3 linked regions of the Drosophila melanogaster genome follow. The protein of the gene in region 3 interacts with the protein of the main gene of each other region in a pairwise test. Each region holds a gene or a part of one and is shown on either strand. Other genes may lie near its edges.

Region 1 (3,756 bases), on a different chromosome or scaffold from region 3:
CACGATCTTTTGCTTTTTGGCGGGCGTTACTGCGACTGCGGTGGGAGATGAATGTCGCTTTTGCGCAGTTGGGCGCGAACTTTCCTTGGAATTCGAGGTGTCCGAAGATCTGTGATCATGCTTAGATTTCTCCTTCCTCCTGGACTTCTCCTCCTTCGAATGCGATCTTTCCTCTTTTCGTAATTGCTCTTTCTCTTCTTTGGCTGTGGATTTTTCTCTGGAGGACGAATTGTGCTCCTTTGCCGGTGGTTTGTCTTCTTTGCTGATTGACTTATCCAAGGAGTGCCTGCTTGACTTTTTCTTTCTGCTCTCCCTCTCCTTTTCCTGCTCCAATCGCCGTCGATCCTTGTCCGCCTCCAGATGCTTGCTCAGCCGTTGTTTCTTTGCATTGACCTCAGCGTCCTTCACGTCCTCATCATCGTCGCCGAACAAGAGTGAAGCTCGATTGCGATCCAGGGGCTTGGCATCCAATGGCGTCGGAGAAACCGATCGCAGAGCATTGAGAACTGGTGATGGCGACGTCGAGGTTTTGGGCGATGCAGCCAGGCTAGAAACCTTGCCAGCGCTCAGCCTTCGCAGGGCCGTGGAGCCGGCGTCCCGAATGGCCGCTGCTGTGGAGGTCGCACTGATCGCGGGCGACTTGTGCTGCGTCTGCTTCTTCCAGCTGTGAAATCTGTTCACTTGATTGTCCGTTTCCGAGTCCGGCGACTCCTCGCGCAGCTTAAAGGTCCCGAATTGCATAACACCCTGCGGCACTAGGGATTTGACCTTAGGCGCCGCAGCAGCCACTACATGCACCTTGACGAATGAGAGCCCGTATGGCACATGACGATTGAAGGGCTGTGTGCAGACTATCTGAAGCAGCTTCCACTTCTCCGGCAGTGCACTCTCCGCCAGCGAAGTGCTACTGAAACAGCGAACGCGATTTGGATTGCTGGAATTCTTGCTCTCGATGGGCGTCATAAACGAACTGGATAGCAGCAGCTCGCGGAAATCGTCCGCCTGGCAGCCTGTTCGACTGACCAGCACCTCGATGAAGGCGGCATGTTCGTTGCCAATATCGATGCCCGTAATCTGTTGCGGCTCCTCGAACTCCAGCACAACGTATGCGGATTTCTCTCCCGGCGCCTTGGTTCGCCACTTCTTGCCGGCGTTTTCCTTGAGCAGATTCGCCGCTACGTGCACCTGGCCAGCGGGATTGCATAGTTATATAGATGTACATTTGTTATATAGGAGCATTACTCACCGCATCTTCGCTGCTCACTTCGCGTACGGACTTGAAAAGCGCAATTGGCATTTCGCAAGTCGCATGAATTTACACTGAGACGCCGATGATTTTGCGGCAAATTGCTTTGCCGACAGTTGCGCCTGCGATTAAACTGATTGTCGAAAGGGAATTGCGTCGGTTGCATGTGTTGCCATGTGCGCTAGAATGTTTGTTTATTTCTTTTATCTTTTGATGATGGGCGGTGAATTATGCTGATTTTGCTTAACCAACTATTTCAAAAATAAAACCTGTATTGTGTGCACTAATTGCCCATCACTAGCTGTGCTGACAGCCTAGCTGGATATCGCTAAATATGGTCTCTTCGTCACCATATCAAAATACTAGCTAGTTAATTGGTTAACCAACACTGGTCACTTCAATTCAACTTTATTTCATTACGTTTATTAAGAAAATGCTAAAGATCTGTTTTGTTTGCAAAGGTTATTATAATTATATTATATTATATTATTCATTATATTCATTATATTATATTATATTATTCAAGAGATTAAATCGCCAAAGTGGCAGCGCTGGTGAAAAGCAAAAAAAAGGTGAAAGTTTTGAAATGATAAATTTGCACATAGAGATGAGCAGTGATTGCAAACGGTGACAAGAAACAAGATAAATATTTAGTAATATATAAAAATAATAACAAACCGTTAAGAAAAGCTAACGAACAGTATGACTGCGCTAATTTATTATATTTAAAAACAAATGATTGTTTATTAGCAAATACTATCGCATTAAATGGTGACTGGCGATAATAACGGTAACTGCAAGCAGTGAACAACTATCGCCCTTCCCTGATTCCCCTTGTCAATGTCGCTGGCAAATAAATAAATAAATATCAACAAAATACAGAATGAGCGCGGATGCGAGAATCAAGCAGATGGCGCCATCGCTGGACACCACCGAACGGGAGAGGGAGCACCAGAACGTGGATGCCACCAACTCGAACTCGGAGCCCAGTGCCAGCGATTGGGTGAACTTCTCGCAATGGATGCACTGCTTCTGCGTGGTCACCTTCGATCTAAATCTTGGGCAGGCGCTGGAGCACGTCTATCCGCCGGCTTTCATGCCCAGCGACCAGGAGGTTAGCAACATTTGCTACATGGCCTTCCCGGACTCAAATTCCGGCTGCATGGGCGACACCAAGTTCCACATGCGATTGCGCTGCACAACGCGTCGGGATTCCTTGCCGGGCTACAATGCGGAATGCTCGCCGGCGCTGCGACAGGATGGCTCCCACTACTGGGGCTTCGTCTACTTTCGCCAGAAGCGGGACGCGAATCTGCCGCGTGGTTACTTCCAGAAGAGCTTTATAATCATTACACGACTGCCGTTCTTCAATCTGTACTACGACATACTCTCCCAGCTGGCGCCGCGCTACTTTGAGGAGGGCACCGACGTCCTGCGTCTGGCCAGCGAGCAAATTAATCGCCAGTGGCCCGGCCTGCGAGTGGGTAAGCCGCTCCAGCTGCCTCTGCTGGATTGCAGCTATCAGATCTGCATACCGCGGACCAGCAGCAGTCGAAAGTCGACGGCCGATGGAGGCATCGCAGGTGGTGCGGTGGAATCGCCACCAGCCATGGCTGCTTGCCCGGCAGCCAAAGTGCTGGCCTCCGTTAATGAAATCGAACTCTTCCGCTCCCTGGACTTTGTCATGGAGCAACTGTACACGCTGTGGGAGCTGGTCATCACCGCCGAGCCCATTGTTGTCGTTGGCACCTCACCCGCCGACTGCTCCCACATGGTGCAGACCCTTCTGGCCATGATTGCTCCGCTGGAGTATTGCGCCGAGGCGCGTCCCTACTTCACCATTCACGACAGCGAATTTCGCGAATTCACACAAGAGTGCAGCAGCAAGACCACACTGCCCGCCTGCATTTTGGGCGTCACGAATCCGTTCTTTGTGAAGCTCCTGAAGGATTGGCCGCACATGCTGCGACTGGTGGACAACCAGGTGAGTGTCCCAATCCCAGTTAACGCAATACAAAATATATCCGTCTTGCTCGTTTTCAGAAGAACATGCAGCAGCAACAGCATCTGCTGCTGGGCCAAAAACACGCAAGGAACATCGCATCGGCCACATCATTTTCCAGTTCAACGGAACTCGGTGGCCGTATAGCACTGAAATCGAACACCAATCTCAATGGCAGCTCCAGTTCCAGCAATGGCTCGGGCGATGCCTCGTCCGCGGGCCTGCACAGTAAATATAGGCCGTACCTGAAAAAGGACAAGGCGCTGATCAAAAAGGTGCTGCTGGGCATGAAGACCAAGCGGCCGGAGCATGTGCAAACCGCACTGATACGACGCCATCTGCTCGAGCTGACGCAAAGCTTTATGATACCACTGGAACGGTATATGGCATCACTGATGCCGCTGCAAAAGGACATCAGTCCGTTTAAGTCGGCGCCGAATGCCAACAGCTTTAAGCTGGATGACTTTCTGGGCACGCTGGAAACCGCTGGGCCGCAGCTAACGTCGCC
Region 2 (3,679 bases), 3.9 Mb from region 3:
GGCCAGCTTTTACGAGCCTGCTGATTGATGGTTGTATAACAGCGGGAAATGACCGGGCTGACACCTCCGTTCTGGGAAATCCGCGAAGGAATACAAATTGCTTTTTCTGCAACTATTTAGTCTCGTTAAGAATTTCTGGAAACCGTTTGGCTTGTAATTGGTGATGTATTTTAACTCATAGTTGTAAAGTCTATAATTTGATCCACTTTAAATGAATTTTTCATTATTACTAGCTTGATATTCAATTGAAAATCTTTCAAGATTAACTAAAGTTAAGAGTTAGCATGCCCAGATCTGTGCTTGCTGCACGAGAGATTTCTACGGTTTTATACACACATGGAATTTCCATAGTTCTATTTAAATGTATGCACAAAAAAGAAAACAGAGATATCTGCAAAATACTATTCCATTATTATATAGTGGCTTTTTACAATATTTTCAGCAATGGACCGCGTCGTGGAACTCCTTTAAATGTTAAGAACCCAATAACGCTTTATAAAGGTGGATTTAGCAAGCACCGCGAGACTGTCTTCATAATACACGGATTCAATGGAACTGCCATAGATATTCACCTGCAATTCCTTCGAGATGGTGAGTGCATCTATCTGTTAAATTATTATATTCTACAATATTAAGCTATAATTTATATAACTTTAACTCTCTCTTTTTAGCTTACCTATCCCGCGATTTCAATGTCATTACAGTGGACTGGCGACCTTTGACCCGCTATCCATGCTACCTCCACTCGCTTATAAACACCAGGTTAACTGCGCAATGCACCGCCCAGATCTACGCCTTCCTCACCCACTACGGAGCTGTCCGGGAACGGATCACTTGCGTGGGTCACTCCCTGGGCGCCCACATCTGCGGCATGATCAGCAACCACCTGACGCGGAAACAGTATCGCATCATTGGATTGGATCCCGCCCGGCCTTTAATTGAGCGCATGAAGAGCAACAAGTTTCGGTTGTCGATCGATGATGCCAACGTCATTCAGGTGCTCCACACCAATGCCGGTTTCCTGGGCCAGGAGGATAACTCCGGGCATCTAAACTACTGTGTCAACGGTGGACGCATCCAGCCGTTCTGCAAAGGAAATCCAATCAGTAAGGCTAAATTAAAGTAGTTTAATACCCTCTTTCTCGGAAAAAGAAATCATATATAAATAAATGTGCTCTCTATCAAACAGGAAAATCGCGATGTTCGCACTTCTTGAGCATCTGCTACTTGGCCACTGCCACATTTAAACACAATAAGTTCATGGGAGTACCGTGTCCCAATGGCTGCCTGAATCTTAGTGGATCCAAGAGGCTGCCAGTGAGCGGCAAAGTGAATCCCTTCGAGTTCGCCTCGCTGATAAGGGAGTACCACATAGGCAACGATGCCCCCGATGAGTAAGTTTATTAAAAACCATATATATAATTTATAACCAATTTCATATTTGATTTAGCGCCCGAGGCTGCATTTGCATTGATGTGCCGTATGCCAAGCACTGCCCCTTTACGGATGCGTAGGAGCTGGTCTTCAGTAGTTTGTAATTCTATGATAAAGCTGTCGATAATAAATTCAAGTAATATTATTTTTTTGGTCTTTGGGTATTTTAGTAAATATGAAGGAAAAATGAGAAATAATTACTTACCTTCTACTACACGTAGTAGGAGTTTATTATTAAAATGTTGCAAATTCCAAATTTAGTTTTCGAAAATTTAAAAATCAAATTCGATATACTAAGAGTTTGGTTCACCGTAATATACCAAAATTTATATCGAATATATGATATCGATGTTTGCAATCGTCATTGCAGTCGCTACAGCTGTTTGGTGTTTTACCATCTCTATGGACATTGTGTATATAAAACATTTGTTATTGCTCATAACAGAATTTCTCCATTTACTACAACCTGAAGATATATAGTTATTTATATCGTTAGTTTATTTAAAGTAAGTAAGATACTTATACCGTGTAAAATGTAAAACAATTGAAAAATATCATAACCCATTGTAAATCGCATATTATAGTTTGCCCAACAAGGAATTCCCAGGAAATATATTGTAATTCTTGAGATAAATATATAATCATGGGTTGCGATGGAGGAACTATTCCCAGGCGCGATGAGCTGGTGCGCGTGAAGCAAAAGCCAGAGCAGGTAAGTCTATTCGATTGGAGCACCTCCTAGCCAGACCGAAATATCATTTCTCGAACCCTACAGAAAGACAAAGATGCGGAGAGGGAGTTCCGTTGGCGCCACTGCACCTTGACCCAGCAAAGCCTCCAGGAGCCGATCGCCATGTGCGGCATGGGTAGGCTCTATTCCAAGCAGAGCGTCATTGAGCGACTGCTGGAGAAGGAACCGATGCCAGAGACAGCTGCGCACGTGAAGAGCATGAAGGACATTCGCCAGCTTAATCCCACACCCAATCCCGCCTTCACCGAGGAGGACAAAACTGAGGGACTGCTGGACACACGACATTCTCCTTACATCTGCAAGCTGATTGGCCTGGAGATGTCCGGCAAATTTCGCTTTGTGGCCCTTTGGAGCTGCGGATGCGTTTTATCAGAGCGTGCCTTGAAACAGATCAAAGGCAGTGTGGCTAGCACTTGTCCGCTGTGCCAGGCTGCCTATAGCGTTGAGGACGTGGTGGTCCTCAATGGCAACGAGGAGGACATGGAGCTCATGCGGGTCAAGATGGAAATGCGTGCGGCCAAGCGTAAGTCCTCCAAAAAGGACAAGAAGAGTGCCAAAAAGGTGGAGGTGAAAGCGGAGCCCGCAGAGGAACAGGAGCCAGTGGCGTCCACATCCAAGGCTGCAGCCGCAGAGAAGCCCACTACAAGCACAAAAACCAAGGCGGTGGCGCCGGTCAAACGACTGGGCGCCGTTAATGCAATGCAGGATCCCGAACTGAAGCGTCTCAAGAGCGACTTCAGCGTGGCCAAGGACCCGAAGGCCAGCGATGTTTACAAGTCCCTTTTCACCTCCCATAAAACCGAAAAGGACCAGGAGCGCGCCCACTGGGTCACCTATAATCCATTCTACAATTAGTCTAGATTTCGTTTAAGTTTGCTGTGTTAACTCAGTCACATGTCCATAGTTTGATCGTTGAAACCACACACACAGTTTCAAAATATACAACCGACAATGTATCGTGCAGCCTATCAAAAAGGTTTCCTTACCGTGCTTTACAGCGTAGGCAGTTCGCCCCTGAACAACTGGTCTTCCTATGTGAGTATCTGGCATTCAATGCAGCTGCCTCGTCTCTAGAAAGCATCCTTGTAACAGACCAAAAACGGGTATATCAAACGGATCTACGATGAGGACATCAAGTCCCTGGTGCTCGAGATAATGGGCTCAAATGTGTCCACCACATTCATACACTGCCCCAGCGAATGCAAGGAGCAGCTGGGCATCAAGTTGCCCTTCCTGGTGCTCCTTATAAAGAACATGCACAAGTACTTTTGCTTCGAAGTTAAGGTAAGGCCAAGTGCTATGAATTTATAGTAAACTCTGGACTGCACAATGATGACAATATATCCTTAGATTCAAGACGATCAGCGCTTCATGCGCCGTTTCCGAGTGTCCAATTTCCAGAGCAAGACCTCCGTGAAGCCCTTCTGCACGGCGATGCCGATGGGCATGTCACCGGGGTGGAACCAGATCCAGTTTAACCTGGCCGACTTCACG
Region 3 (3,756 bases):
AAATCGTTTGCTTTCGTCTGCTTTATCCCCAGACTTAGGTTCACCCAAATGGCCACATCTCAGTGGCTGGCGGTGACAACGACAACAAAACTTACTCAGGCATCGCTTTACCCCGCGCGCAGGACTTACCGTCGCCCACAGGCAGGACCTTTGGCGACACTGAGTGACACCTTGTGAGCGGATCACCGCAATTTCTCGCAGTGCACGACCCAGACATGACACTAGCCGGGCTTCCATCCAACCAACCAGTCAGCCAGCCAGCCAGCCAGCCAGCAGCCAGCCATCCAATCGAGCTGGCTCCTTTTGGGTGGCTTCGTCGCATTTGATGCTTGACATTGTTGGCAGTCGATATTGGTTGTAATTAGCTTTAATTGAAATTGCTACACTCCCGTCCAGCCAACACGGGTATGTATGTATGTATGTATGTATGCGCTGGTGTGTGGCACCGTGATTTGGGTTTTAATGGGGGAAATGGGAAAATGTTTGTAATTTTGGCAAAGTTAATTTATGGAGACCCCGCACGAATCCCTGACCCAGCCGCATTTTCATCAGCCACCTCGATGTCATGACGCATTTTACATTGGCCGTTTGCCACTCAAATAATTAGAGAAGTTTCATCCGAAAAGTTCATACATTTCTGCAATTTTGCGGATTGTTTGAATTGAATTCGATTCGGCCATTTGCCGTTTTGGCTGCAAATTGGTATGAGTTGCGAAAACAATATGCACATAGATAGAAAGTAGGTAAATATATTGCCGGAAATTAGATAAACAAATTTACAATAAATATTAAATGGCAGCAGTGAAATCAATTTTAATGCTATGCCGGCATACCTTTATGCGGGCAATGTCAGAAATATCAAATTAATCTCTGGCTAAAAATAACAATAATCATTTTAACCAAATTATCAATTGTAAGCACTATTTGCACTATTTGATTTCATTATAACATTGTTTTCCCCAAATACCGCATATCATGTACTTATATTGCACTAATCAAAGTTAGTTTACCCAGGTGAATCGCAGTGGAAATCTTTGAGGAGTTTATGGACACATAAGCACGGTTTATGGCGCAGATATCAAAAGGAATACTATTCATTGTCTGCGAGAGAACACGTTTATCAGTTTTGTGTGTATCGCGATTTGTCAGTTGAAATTCGGTAAGGTAAATAAACGAAAATCATACATTTGGGTTTTATGCAAATGGTAAATAAACAAAGTGACATCTTTATCGGTGTTTGTTTACGCCAAATGATTAATCTAATATAATATTTGGGCAAGTATTTAGATATTTAGAAGCTATTTGTATTATTGATACGCATGACGAGCACTGTAAAGTCAAGTCAATTAGACCGCCAATTAACTAATTGACTTTTCCACCGCCATGCATTCAATGTGACTCAATTACCAAATCCCCTCTAAAGTTCATCAAACGATGGGCAAACGAAACGTCGCGACCATATCAATACGAATTGATTAACGTGGCCATAAAGCCATCAAGCGCTTTCGATTTCCGATTGATTGAGCTTCTCAAGACTGCCTAATTAAAGAAAAACCAATCGTTATCTCGGGTCATCAATCATATTTTTTATTGCATACTTTTTCGTGTCACATATAGGGCCATATAAACAATGTATTTTCACACCGCCAAGAGTACCAGTTATGACATTGCATTTGCCAATGGTAAATTCTCAACTGAATTTATGGCCTGGGAAGCGTTGAGGAAATTATTTTGTTGACCATTTTATGGGTCGCACAACTCGAGAGGGCCTTAAGTTCGTGATATACTCGCGGCAGTGCAGTAGCCACATGAAGCTATATAGTTGGCTTACACCATTGGCTGCTTGATCGCCTTGATTTACGCCTCTTCTACCAGAAGAGCGGGCTTTGGGCCACCTTTATTTTCAGGTGGGTGGATCATACAAGAAGATAAGACTTACAGCCACATAACTTCGGGCAATTCTTCGCAAATCGGAGAGTGAGTAGGTGAGCAAGTGAGTGAGTGAGTGCGTGAATGAATGGGTGAGCAAGAGAGCGGTTTCAATTCGATTCGCTTCAATTCTTCCGATCGCGTTTACAGACGTGAGTGTGTGTGTGTGCCTATAAAACGCTGGCAGGAATTTGCAGCGACTTAGTCGTGCTTTTGGCCAGGTTGCGGTTCGACTTCGCCACAGTTTTCCGCCTCCGTGGTCCGCGTTTTGTGAATATGAAAGTAAAAGTCAACGCAGAACGACTAACTGAGTTCTAATTAGTCGAGTGCTGGCGCCATTCCGAGAAAAGTGAAGAAGATTAAAACACGAAGACAACGAAAAGTGACAAAGTGCTTTCAGATTTGAAACATCAACGAAAGTTGCCTAATTTCCTCCTGGCCGCCGTGTGAATACAAAGTAGGTTTTGCCACTCATTCCCATCTTCGAGTTCAGTGGCTGTAATAAAGTAAATACTTAAGATATTTCACATTTCTGGCTGTACGTGTTTTTTTTTTTGTTATGGCGACTCCAATCGAAATGCCAAAGCAGCCAAAACAGTGCAAATGCAAATTACATTCGTTTATGATTAAAACACCCGCTTGCGACTTTGAGCTGTTATTAATTTTGCTCATATATTTCACTTTATTTACGTTTTGCTGACCATTTGCATATTGACCGAAATTAATGAAATGTGAATGATTTCTTAATGAACTCGAAATGAATGCATAAGAATATTTTATTGCATGAGGAAAATCAATTTGCAGTGCTACCAATTGTATCATCATTTAAATGCTATTAAGCGAACATCTCAAGCGGGTTAACCCTTTAATGTAAGCTGTGAACGAGTTTCAGAACGCATTAATTCCGTATCAGTATCAATAAAATCAATCACATTGCCAAGGAAATGCGCAGTGCGTATAACGGTTGTGCATTGTATTATATATTATATACATTGTATCACAATCAAAGAGAAGGTTTCTGCATCTACGTTTCGAATAATTAGATCTACATATAATGAGTGTTTCAACTTTGATTCTGTCATGTCATACACAGATATATAGCACGTATATTGCTCTACTTTAGATACTTCAGTTACTTAAAGATACAAATTTAGTTTCCGTCTTTTGAAGTTGCATTGATACGAAGTAATATAACTTATATATTAATATGAATTAATACTCAACTTTAATTCTTTTCTGTGCACTGCAATAGAATAAACAATGATCCAGATCAAAACGTGCCGAAAAACACCTTAATGATAGCAGTAAATATTACCAAAATGTGTAACCTCTATCCGAAACAGTATCTCGAGTATACCCATCATTTAAGTACATTATTTGTGCGGTTTAGATAAGCAGAGGAAGTCTCACCATGATAAAGGAAATACATGCATAATTAAACGAGAAGAGTGATACACGGGCCAAATCTTATCGAATGCCTCGAAAATTGGGCCAATAAACACTTACCACAATTAGCAGTTGTCAATGGAACTAATGACAAAGGCCAAAGCCAGACGAAACGAGTGTAGAACAGCGTGAAGTGGATCCGACTGTGGATTACAGATATTGATAATGTTTTAATAAACAATTCGCGCAATTGAGGCAGATAAACCCCCAGTGGAAAGCACCTGAGACACACTGAAATCCAAAGAGGGCTCGATGGCTCGAAGGAAGGGGGCTCGGGGGAAATTGAAAGCGAAATCGAAATCGAATCTGTAGCCGATTATATAGAAACAACATTCATGGCTGATTGAGATTCGATTCGAGTGGAGTGGGTCTGTTAATGAA

Evidence for each region.
Region 1: the proteins of Nha1 (region 3) and CG3309 interact in a two-hybrid assay, tested with the Drosophila melanogaster proteins (one large-scale study listed by BioGRID).
Region 2: the proteins of Nha1 (region 3) and CG6443 interact in a two-hybrid assay, tested with the Drosophila melanogaster proteins (one large-scale study listed by BioGRID).

What each region holds. Positions count from the first base shown.
Region 1 is NC_004354.4:5,327,643-5,331,398, reverse strand, and holds the start of CG3309 (uncharacterized protein), read left to right. Parts: upstream 1-2,051; 5' UTR 2,052-2,129; coding exon 2,130-3,230; intron 3,231-3,289; coding exon 3,290-3,756. Other genes in the region: XRCC1, read right to left, coding at 1-1,185, 1,247-1,297.
Region 2 is NT_033779.5:10,727,163-10,730,841, forward strand, and holds CG6443 (uncharacterized protein), read left to right. Parts: upstream 1-1,815; 5' UTR 1,816-1,940; intron 1,941-2,018; 5' UTR 2,019-2,077; coding exon 2,078-2,146; intron 2,147-2,209; coding exon 2,210-3,040; 3' UTR 3,041-3,136; downstream 3,137-3,679. Other genes in the region: CG6431 (uncharacterized protein), read left to right, coding at 443-591, 672-1,106, 1,190-1,394, 1,451-1,514; CG17118 (uncharacterized protein), read left to right, coding at 3,137-3,220, 3,278-3,469, 3,536-3,679.
Region 3 is NT_033779.5:6,868,764-6,872,519, reverse strand, and holds the start of Nha1 (Na[+]/H[+] hydrogen antiporter 1), read left to right. Parts: upstream 1-2,130; 5' UTR 2,131-2,386; intron 2,387-3,756.